3 linked regions of the Sus scrofa genome follow. The protein of the gene in region 3 binds, or shares a complex with, the protein of the main gene of each other region. Links are inferred from orthologs where the notes say so. Each region holds a gene or a part of one and is shown on either strand. Other genes may lie near its edges.

Evidence for each region.
Region 1: THOC1 (region 3) and SARNP share a complex: the UniProt entries of both Homo sapiens proteins name them as parts of the transcription/export (TREX) complex. The link is inferred for Sus scrofa from reciprocal best matches to the Homo sapiens genes THOC1 and SARNP.
Region 2: THOC1 (region 3) and CHTOP share a complex: the UniProt entries of both Homo sapiens proteins name them as parts of the transcription/export (TREX) complex. The link is inferred for Sus scrofa from reciprocal best matches to the Homo sapiens genes THOC1 and CHTOP.

The regions. Positions count from the first base shown.
Region 1 is NC_010447.5:21,248,811-21,252,462, reverse strand, and holds part of SARNP (SAP domain-containing ribonucleoprotein), read left to right. Parts: intron 1-1,997; coding exon 1,998-2,044; intron 2,045-2,271; coding exon 2,272-2,339; intron 2,340-3,652. UniProt on the Homo sapiens protein: Binds both single-stranded and double-stranded DNA with higher affinity for the single-stranded form. Specifically binds to scaffold/matrix attachment region DNA. Also binds single-stranded RNA. Enhances RNA unwinding activity of DDX39A.
Region 2 is NC_010446.5:96,003,439-96,007,190, reverse strand, and holds the start of CHTOP (chromatin target of PRMT1 protein), read left to right. Parts: upstream 1-1,576; 5' UTR 1,577-1,886; intron 1,887-3,055; 5' UTR 3,056-3,072; coding exon 3,073-3,137; intron 3,138-3,752. UniProt on the Homo sapiens protein: Plays an important role in the ligand-dependent activation of estrogen receptor target genes. May play a role in the silencing of fetal globin genes.
Region 3 is NC_010448.4:106,084,138-106,087,889, forward strand, and holds part of THOC1 (THO complex subunit 1), read left to right. Parts: coding exon 1-73; intron 74-2,107; coding exon 2,108-2,255; intron 2,256-2,922; coding exon 2,923-2,998; intron 2,999-3,491; coding exon 3,492-3,752. UniProt on the Homo sapiens protein: Component of the THO subcomplex of the TREX complex which is thought to couple mRNA transcription, processing and nuclear export, and which specifically associates with spliced mRNA and not with unspliced pre-mRNA.

The sequences.
Region 1 (3,652 bases), on a different chromosome or scaffold from region 3:
GTGAGTGCTCTGTGGAGGCAAAGACTAATGTGAATGTGGGGATTAATTTTTAAGCTCTGCCATATGGAAGAGTTCTTTTCCTGTAAGTTGTTGATGATGTGAGGTCTTAATTAACTCTGTCCAGAAAACTCTTGGTCATCGAAAACAGTGGTTATAGTGAAAAGAAAGAAATACCACTCCCCACCACCACCTTTTAAGAAAAGACATTGTGATTATATTTCAGCAGATTTTTTTTTTTCCTTTTTTTTGGCTACCCCATGGCACATGGAGTTCCTGGGCCAGGGATTAGATCTGAGCTATATGTGACTTATGCCACAGCTGCAGCAACACCAGATCCTTAACCCACAGTGCCAGGCTGGGCACTGAACCTGCATCCTGGTGGTGCAGAGATACCACTGTTTCCACTGTCACAAAGGGAACTCCTCAGCAGATATTTTGAAGGTAGTATGGTACAGCAAGTATCCTTAGACTCAGAATTGGAAAATTTTGATTTCTGATTCCTCTCGTGCCAGAAATTTACTAGGTAATTTAGGATGGCCACTGTTTTCATGGCTAAGTGTCTGTTCTGGTCTGTGAAGTGAGACAAGTGTCTCCACCTTTGAAATCCATGAACCTAGGTAATCTCTGGTCCCTTCAAACTCTGACATTCTCTAATTCCACCTTTTTAAAAAGAAAAACAACTTCATTTGAGGCATTGTGTCATCCTTCTCTAATTTTTATTATTTATTCCGTTTTATTCCTGTGCCATTTGCCCCAGCTATTCTAATGTATATATTTTTTGTCTTTGTCCTTGTAAGCCAGGTAGTGTTGTTTGGTGTACAGTATTTTTATGTAATTGGCAATGCGGCCATAGTCTTACTTTATTTTTCTTACCTTTCCCTCAGAGTACCATGTTCTAAGATATATTTGTGGGGTGTGTGGCTATATGGTCATCTAATCTATTGATTCTAATTCCTGCAAGGTTATTCTGATGTATAGAATTTACCACGTTTTATTTAGTTCACTCAGTGACTGATGCTCCTTTGTTGCCTCCGGAACTATTTCTTTCATATTCCCTTAAATTCCTGAGAGTCTTTCTGGGTTATATACCCAGGAATGGGGTTGCTGATAAGTACATAAATGTATACTTAATGTGACTAAACACTGCCAAATTGTTTTTCTAAATTGCTCTATAAATCTCATCATCAGTACATGAGGGTTCTTATATCTCCTCCACAAACCTAAAGTTGACATCGTCTTGTCAAGTGACTTAATTTTTGCTTATCTCTTGGTGGTTTCAATTTACATTCCTCGAATTATTAAAAAGTTTGTGGTTTGTTACCTTTTTCCTTTGCCCATTTTTCTTTTGGGATTCATATCATTTACTTCCTTTGCAGTCATTTCTTCAGTATTCTGGTAATTATCCCCATGTTGGTTTTAGACACAAATATCTTCTTTGTCATTTGTTTCTTTTTCTGTGGTGACTTAAAAAGTCTAAACATTTCTTTTGTTTGTGGTTCTTTGGGTTTCTCCTTTGCCCTTTTCTCTGATGGGATTCACATCATTTACTTAGTTTGCAGACATTTCTTCTATATTCTAGTAACCGTATATATAGACACAAATGTCGTCTTTGTCATTGTTTCTTTTTCTGTAGTGTCCTTCCCTGGTTTGAAAAATCTGCAGTTTTTTGCATATTACTTTTGCTTTAGGGTTTTTTGGTTTGTTTTTGAGAAATTCTTCCCCACCACTAAATTCTCACACATTACTTTTTGTGAATGTTATAGTTTGACCTCATCACATTTAATCCTTCAGTCTAGCTGGTATTCAACTTCGTATTGATATTAGGTAGAGAATATAGTTTTATCTTCTCCATGTGGAGCACATTTTATGAACATCATTTCTGCCTTCATTATTGAATTTTATTTTGGGGCAACAAACTGATTATAATTTTAGCCTAAGTGCAGTGATCAAGATGGTTTTGTAGCAGGGCTTGACCTAAATATTTTAATATTCTTTAGCTGAAGAGGAGGCAAATGAAGAAGATGTACTGGGAGATGAAACAGAGGTGAGTTGGAGAGAGTAAGGTTAGTCACTAGCCTGGCAATGTGCCACTGCCTTGGTCACATTGCTGAGCAGCAGATATTAGAGGGCTTATATGCTAACTTGTTAGGGGAGCATAAAGGGGGAATGCAGCTTCTGAAAGACTGGTTCATTTTGGCAGTCTCATATTCTTCTCTTTGACAGGTATTTACTCTTAATTTACATTAACCGTCCTGTTTCATTTGGTTTTAGGAAGAAGAGCCGAAGCCCATAGAACTGCCTGTCAAAGAGGAAGAACCTCCTGAAAAAACTGTTGATGTGTAACTATCCCTTTTTTATAATGAATACAGAGCAGACAGGTCTGGGTTTTTTAGTGTTTCACTCTGTTCATCTCCTACACGTTTGCATTGGCTTTTTCATTTCTCATTAGATCACGTATTTTCAGAAATGTCTACTTCATTTCAAGTACTTGGTCCCAGTAAGGCAAAGTAGGTTGTCTCTGGGTTATGTAATACATAATTAGGACCAGGAGACTTCAATCCCAGGTAAAGTTTAGTTCTCCTAGGCTTTGCTGTATCACCTTAATGGATGATTCTCTTTCTGTATAGAGAATCATGAAGGTTTTCTGCATGTAAAGAATTTTGTAATGGAGGAAGATGCTGAACAGAGGTTACATCTCAAGTAATGCTGTATTCTCTCTTCCTGTTTGATTTACAGTGGAGGAGGGGAGGACAAAGTACTAGAGTGAAAAGTGGATCTTGGTTGCTTAAATTATTCCACAAGCTTGATTATAAGCATCTTTTATTTGGTGTTTCCCACAAACATCTGGCTGTCTTAACTCCAGCACACTAAGAACAGTTGAGTCCTTTTTAACACTTTTGTTTCTTATAGCCGTATTAATCCATTTAATTATAAAAGGCAATATATGTATAAGTAGAAAGTCAAATAGTACATAGAGGGATATATAAATTGAAAATTAAGTATCTTGTCTCCACCCCCACCTGACTTCCCAGAGGTTTTCAATACTTTTTTTTTTTTTTTTTTTTTTGGTCTTTTTAGGTCCGCACCCATAGCGTGTGGAAGTTCCCCAATCAGAGCTATAGCTGCTGGTCTACACCACAGCCACAGCAACGTGGGATCCGAGCCGCATCTGCAACCTATGCCACAACTCATGGCAACGCCAGATGCTTAACCCATTGAGTGAGGCCAGAGATCAAACCCGAGTCCTCATGGATTCTAGTTGGGTTCGTTAACCACTGAGCCACAACGGGAACTCTTTCAGTATTTTTGTGTGTGTGTGTGTGTTTGCCTTTTCTTGAGCCGCTCCTGAGGCATATGGAGGTTCCCAGGCTAGGGGTCTAATCAGAGCTGTAGCCACTGGCCTGCGCCAGAGCCATAGCAACGTGGGATCCAAGCAGCGTCTGCGACCCACACCACAGCTCACAGCAACGCTGGATCCTTAACCCACTGAGCAAGGCCAGGGAACGAACCCACAACCTCATGGTTCCTAGTCGGATTTGTTAACCATTGCGCCATGACAGGATCTCCGTTCAGTATATTATTTTGAAATATTTTAACATGGTGGTGTGTGGCTGTGGTGTGTGTATGGATACATTTGTATACATGATGTGTA
Region 2 (3,752 bases), on a different chromosome or scaffold from region 3:
CCCTTCCCCTCCACCCTGCCATACCTGCCTCTTCACCCTGCTTCCCCTTCATCCCGCTGTTCCCTCCCCACCTTCTCACCCTTGCCTACCCTCCAACAGGGGCGCAAGAGTAGTGGGCCAGGCCTGCAACTCATCTTTCATTAAAGGCTCCTCTCTCACCAGCCACCAGCTGCTGTCTCTGGTCCTTCAGGGTTTGGAAATGGGTGGGGAAGTGAAGGCTGTTCACTCCCAAATTGCTTTATTTGGGGAGGGATCTTATTTTGGAGAAAGATCAAGGAACCATTACATCTTCCTACTTAAGGAATGCTCAAGGCCCAGAAAGGTAGAGGCTCAAGGTTCCAGCTGGAAGTGGCAGAGACATCAGCTTTTCAGCTTTGAAGCCAGAAAAATTGCCCTTCAACTTTCGAAGAATATGTGCTGAAGACCTACCCCGTGCTAGACATTGTGTGGAAACTGGGAATACAGCAGTGAGCAAAACAAACACAACCCTCACTGTCACATAGGTGAAGTCCAGTAAAGGGTGCCAAACCATTAAACATACACGTATAAATGCTAGGAAGGAAAATGAAAGGATCTCATGCGCCTTTAAGAGAGTGGAGGTGGAACTGAGGACATGTTCATTCACTCATTCTTCCAACATCTGAGCCTTTTTTTTTTTTTGGTCTTTTTTTGCTATTTCTTGGGCCGCTCCCACGGCATATGGAGGTTCCCAGGCTAGGGGTTGAATCAGAGGTGCAGCCACCTGGCCTACGCCAGAGCCACAGCAACGCTGGATCCGAGCCGCGTCTGCAACCTACACCACAGCTCACAGCAATGCCGGATCGTTAACCCACTGAGCAAGGCTAGGGATCGAACCCGCAACCTCATGGTTCCTAGTTGGGTTCCTTAACCACTGCGCCACGACGGGAACTCCCATCTGAGCCTTTTATTGTGTGCCCAGGTATAAGGAAAATGCCATATAGGTCTGCATCAAAATCCACATGGAAGCTAGATGGAGGGAGAAGACATTGGAATAGGTTGCGGGGACGCAAAGCTTCCCCCAAATAAGAATTTAACAATCTTCAGGCCAAATTGGGAAGGGAAGTGAAGAGAAAAATATGGACGGGCAGTGGTGCGTGGTGCAGGATCCAGTGAGGTGTGCTCCCTGCACTGGTCCCCAGGTGCGTTTATGGCAACCCACAACTCTAAAAGGGGCGTATGCTGAGGGGGGAGCCAGCGCAAATTACACCGGCCCGGTGGCTCTCGGAAGAAAGACCGAGTCATGTCGCGTAAAGAATTTTAGTCGGTCTGCCTTAGCTTTAGGGGTGGAGGGACCCGCAATGAAATACGAACTTCTTTTCTTAAGAGGACCAAATCCGCCTTGAACGTCCCAAATCACCAACTTGCAGCCGCCTTAAAACCCAAGAGAGAATATATTGGCCACGCCCCTTCCCGGGTGGGGCTCGGAGTGTAATACAGCCTAAAGCCCCGCCTTTTCCCTGGAGCTCCGCCTCATCCCCCGCGCAGGCGTAACACAAATTTTCCCGCCTCCTGCGCTGTGCGCAGACCTGACGTCTGACGTAATGGCGTCGACGCCATTTTAGCCGGTCCCATTCCGCACTGGGCGTGGCGGCCATTTTGTTTTGGAGAGCGAGCGGGAGTTGGCGGCAGCGGCTGTGGTGAAAGGCAGGAAAGGGCACGCCGGGCGAGCAGGCGAACCGGCCGACCGGACAGCCACCCAGCATCAACGAACTAACCTAGCATTCTACCGTTTAACACATACAACCAACCGCCCACCAAGTTAATCCGAGCCCCTCCACCGTCAACTCAGGTTCGGCCGGCCCCCGGCCAGCCTGTCGCAGCCGTGGTGGCAACCCCGGGAGGAGCACTGGCGTCCGTTTCCTTCGGTACGTTTCTGTGGTGAGAAGGAGGGCAAAAGTCTTGGGGAGCGCCCGGGCCCGGCGGTCGTGGAGTGGGAGCTGGTGGGATGTGGAAGCAGATTGGGTGTCGGGGAGTGGAGGCCCCGGGAGGGGGCGGAGCCCCTGAGAGGGAGGCGGGGGAGGCCCCGAGCTGGAAACTCGCTGCTGGAGGTTGGGATTTGGTAGGAATAGAAAGGAACATTGCTGGGCGGGTTGAGCAACGTTGGCGGTCCCGGACGGGGCTTTGAGATGGGAGTTCAGAGGAGGACTACACGGCTTTAGGGAACGTCAGAATGCACTGGCAGCTGTAGAGTTAAATTTTGTGGCGTGCTCTCTGGGATCGAACTCCCAGGTGAACGCCCATTTAGGAAACCTTTCCTACTCCATCCCTCCCCCACGTCCCCAGTCCCTTGCTAAGGTTCCTGCAAGACTTTGGAGTTGAAAGCCAATTTGTAAACTGGTAAACCTGTATCATCTCTCTAGAGCAGTGGTTCTGAATTTTGGCTGCACATGAGAAGCAGCAAGTTAGACACCACCCCCCCTCCCCGCACCACCTTCTAATTGCTGATCCCCAGACCTCACCAGCAGAGATTGTGCTTTAAATGGTTTGGGCCGAAGCTTCTGTATTTTGTGTCTGTCTTTGTTGTTGTTTTGTCTTTTTAGGGCCGCATATATAGAAGTTCCAAGGCTAGAGGTCGAATTGGAGCTGTAGCTGCCGGCCTAGACCACAACCCACAGCAACGCTAGATCCTTAACCCACTGTGCGAGGCTAGGGGTCCAACCCACATCCTCAAGGATGCTAGTTGGGTTTGTGACCGCGGAGCCATGAAGGGAACTCCTGTTGTTGTTTTTTAAAGCTCCTTGCAGCCAAGGTAGAGAAGGACCGCTCTAGATGAAAAGCCAAACACTTTCTTTGGCTAGGTCTAGGTCTGCCATTTTTGGAGGCTTGGGCAGGTATTTTCTGTCATGTGGCCTTGAAGTTTATTAATTCCAGATAACTTAGCTTCTAAATGTAAGCACCTGAAATGAGTTTTGGTGTGATCTTCAGTAGTCATTGAGACAGGCCTATTCATTCATTTTTGGTTTGGGCCTTTGGCCCTGTTGAAATGAGGTAGTCATCATTCTGATTTGCTCACTTTGCCCATTGTCTTTTGTAGATTCTCGGGATTTGAAGATGGCTGCACAGTCAGCACCGAAAGTTGTGCTAAAAAGCACCACCAAGATGTCTCTAAATGAGCGGTGAGGCAGCCAACAGCAACTTCAGCTCGTTCATAAGAAAACATTACTTAAGTTGGCCCTGGGTCCAATGCACAAAAACCAGTTTTAAGCTAAATACCAACAGAAGGCTACAGACCTCTGTTCTTAGTAGCATCTTATGTGGTACACAAAACAAATTGGGCGGTTGTTTCAAAACCACTTATCAGTAGATTTTTATGTTAAGCTGTCTGAAATATTTCTCTGGTGGGATGTATTTTAAAAGACTCCTCACACCCTCCATTTTCTTCACATTTTTTTTACATTGATACAGGGGTGGTGCAGCTTGGTAGCATGGAACCCCGGCTGCAGTAGGCTTGCTGCCCAGTCCAAGGCCAGCAGTGTTGTGTCTGGCCTGTAAGAGGCAGGTAGCAAGCTATGAATATGTCCAAAGGCCCTTGAATGTCATTCTTGGACCTTGTAAGAGGCACTTGCTTTGCTCCATTTCACTTTCTTTCCATTCTGCTTTTAGTTTGTTTTTGTTTTGGATTCTTTTGCGCTTAAGTGTTCTTCTCTTTCATTCCGTTAAATTCGACAGGAATAATAGAAGAGTGTCTTCACAAGAGCCTCAATGATTGAACTAATCTTAACTTTTCAGAA
Region 3 (3,752 bases):
CAACTTTGGAGGAATTCTTTGAAGAAGCCATTGAACAGGCAGACCCTGAAAACATGGTTGAAAATGAGTACAAGTAAGTAATGTTTCTCCTCAGCTGATCTCTAGTACCTTTTCTTAAAAATTGTATGTATACTAGAATGCTTAGCAAGGGAGAGAGTTGATGGTACTTCTCCACTTCAGTGAGTTTATATGCCAAGTTCATATTATGACACATCCTGACTTCAGCAACCATTCCCATCAACTAATAAGCAGGACTTAGAATCATGGTTTGATAGTACTTCTCCGCTTCAGTGAGTTTATATGCCAAGTTCATATTATGACACATCCTGACTTCAGCAACCATTCCCATCAACTAATAAGCAGGACTTAGAATCATGGTTATGTCTAAGAAGAAAAATCCCCCCTTGAGCCCACTTCTTATCACCTCTTTTCTCTGTTCCCCTTCAAATCACACTATATCCATCAGTTGTTGATAATTTCCGCCTTCATTTCCTCATCTATTCTCCCTGGCCAGCCTGTGCCTGCTGGGTGATCTTCTAGTCACTCGACTAAAATAGCTGACCAAGGTCACTTATTTTTTGGACCTCTCTCCAGCAGCATTCGCCAGTTGATCATTTTCTTCCCTTGACACCTGTGAAACTACACTCTTCTCTGCTTTTTCCTTTTGCCTCATTGTCTCAGTCTCTTTTGCTGGCTCCAGACCATCTGCCAAATTCTCCAATTTTGGAATAACTACAGGAGTCAGTCTCAGCTTCTTCATCTGAATCTTCCAGGAGACACCACACAGCCCCATGGTTTTAAATAGGCATCCTGGCACATGGTCTAAGTGCCCTTTACTCTCATCAGCCTGCCTGGTCACTCCCGAGATCCAGATCCTACCTCCTGCTAGCTAGGCTTCTAAGGGCTGGTTTAAGCCCTTTTTTGCATGTTTCTTCATCTGTTAAAACAGTCATAGTACCCATTTCATGGCTTATACATACTAAACATTAAATAAAATGGTTCACTTTGAACCATGCACTGTATAGGGGTAGTATTTTAGGTGCCACACCATCTCAGAGGTGGAAGCTCATTTGTAAGCAATGACTAATATACCAGGCTGCTACTCTTAGAACTTGTGGGGGCTTTCAAATGATTTGTAAAAACTCACATTTGTGCTCTGGATTCTCTGTAGCTTACCTGTTTGCAGAAGAACATTATCTTCAGAATTTCCCTGAGGTTTTTCCTTCTCACCTTACTGTTTACCACCTGTTATTTCATTAGTGAAGAGTTCATAGAGTCTATTCTTGGCATCCCTGCTTATGGTGTTGACTCTTGGATGTGTCCCTTTTAGTTTTGGAGCCATTTTTACTCAGTGAGGTTGACATTTGGCAAATTACAGTTTGTTACATAAATGTTAAAAGGCAGATACTGATTAACATGATCCAAAACTGTTTTATTTATAAAATATTCTGAAACTCACATCTGCAGGTGACATTGCTAGTTTGGTTATCAACTCACTGAAGGTAGTGAACCTCTTTCTTACTATATGACCAGGCAGATGATTTCTGTCCTGCACATACAGCACCTAGCAAGTCCTGGACACATACTAACAGACTTTTAACTTAAATAAGATGTAACTTTTAAAGTTCCCATTGTGGCTCAGTGGTAACTAACTCATCTAGTATCCATGAGGACATGGGTTCAATCCTTGGCCTCACTCAGTGGGTTAAGGATCCAGCATTGCCATGAGCTGTGGTGTAGGTTGCAGACAAGGCTTGGATCTGGTGATGCTGTGACTGTGGTATAGGCCAGAGGCTACAGCTCTCATTCAACCCCTAGCCTGGGACCTTCCATATGCCGTGGGTATGGTCCTAAAAAGACCAAAAAAGTATGTAAACTTTTGAATTGTGTTTGCTACATATGAACCTGCCTCTTTGGACTCCATTGGTTTCTGATTTGTAAGAGAACTGCATACTGAGACGTTCTGTAGGGCTATGATCACAAGGAAGAGATGGTGCCCTCAGCTACTGACCTGAGAGGACATTATTTCATGTGGTGAAGTTCCATGCACTAGAAGGGAACATGTAAATAAAACACTCAATTACAAGACTGGCATCTCTTTTTATAGGGCTGTGAACAATTCAAATTACGGTTGGAGAGCCCTGAGACTGTTAGCTCGGAGAAGCCCTCACTTCTTCCAGCCAACCAACCAGCAGTTCAAAAGTTTGCCAGAATATCTTGAAAACATGGTAATAAAGCTAGCCAAGGAATTACCAGTAAGTAATATAGGCCAATTTTTTCATCCTTTAGTTGGCATTATCTTCCTTTTTTAAGAGCTGAATTTAGCCTTTATTACATGAAAAAAATGATCCACAAACCCCCTTTAGAATGAGGAAGATGCACTGTGTGTGTGTGTGTATGTGTATGTGTATTACACTTACATAAATTGGTAACTTTACGTGCTATATCAAAAATTATTAATTTATTATATTTTGGGTAAACTTATTTTTCCTGTTTTGCCAAAGCATTACATTTTATCAAAGATAGGGCCTTTGGGGGTAGCAGTAGGTAACCTGGCCTGTATTGTTCTACTCTGTTCTTTTCCAGTACAGTATGGTAATAACTATACTATGTGCATCAAATCTAAGAAAATTACTCAAAAAAAACCCACTTAAGGACATGGTTGCTCCCCTAGTCTTCCTAAAGCATTGTTACTATTTGCTGGGTCCTTGCAAGTCATTTTACTATACTTCTTACTGGCTCCCTTCTTCCCACATTAGGGCAAAGGGCCTTTCTAACCTTCAGGTTTTCACCGTCCCACTGTGATCCTTACCTGACATTTGGGCCCCATGATTGGAATCTCTTACCTAAATAATAAGCACTCCCAGTTATATTATTTTAGAAGTTGGCACTCTTTTAAGACATTCTTCTTACTCATTTTAGCCTCCTTCTGAAGAAATAAAAACAGGTGAGGATGAAGATGAGGAAGATAATGATGCTTTACTGAAGGAAAATGAAAGTAAGATTTGAATTTTCTTGGCTATTTTACAAAATTGGAAAAGATTGGGGTTCTTGGTTGAGAGGTACGTTATTTAATTTTGATCTACTTCTCAACTTCTACCATTTATCTCAGCTCTGTTTCTTATAGTGAGGAATCTAGAACATTGCCTGATAATAACGTTTAAAATAAGACATCTTATACAATAAAATTTGGAAGTATTGGAAAGGAAAGTACTTAAATTTGAAGGCAACTCATACCTCTTAATTCTTGGGTATTAGATTGGGGCAGCTGGTTTCAGAAGATGCCTTCATAATTATAATAGAGGCAATGATTCCTCAATGATCATGATAAGAATAGTAATTCAACATGTGGAAAATGCAAAAGAACCGTCTTTTAAAATAAAGCTAATAAAAGATGATTAATATCTCAGCTTCCCCATGTTCCATTATATACTTTGAATCTTACACGTCCTCATACTTTGTTCATAATCTGCATTTCATGTGTTTTCTAGGTCCTGATGTTCGACGAGACAAACCTGTAACAGGGGACCAAATAGAAGTATTTGCTAACAAATTGGGTGAACAATGGAAGATTCTGGCTCCCTACCTGGAAATGAAAGACTCAGAAATTAGACAGATTGAGTGTGACAGCGAAGACATGAAGATGCGAGCTAAGCAGCTCCTAGTGGCCTGGCAGGATCAGGAGGGCGTGCACGCAACACCTGAGAACCTCATCAGTGCACTCAACAAGTCCGGATTAAGTGACCTTGCAG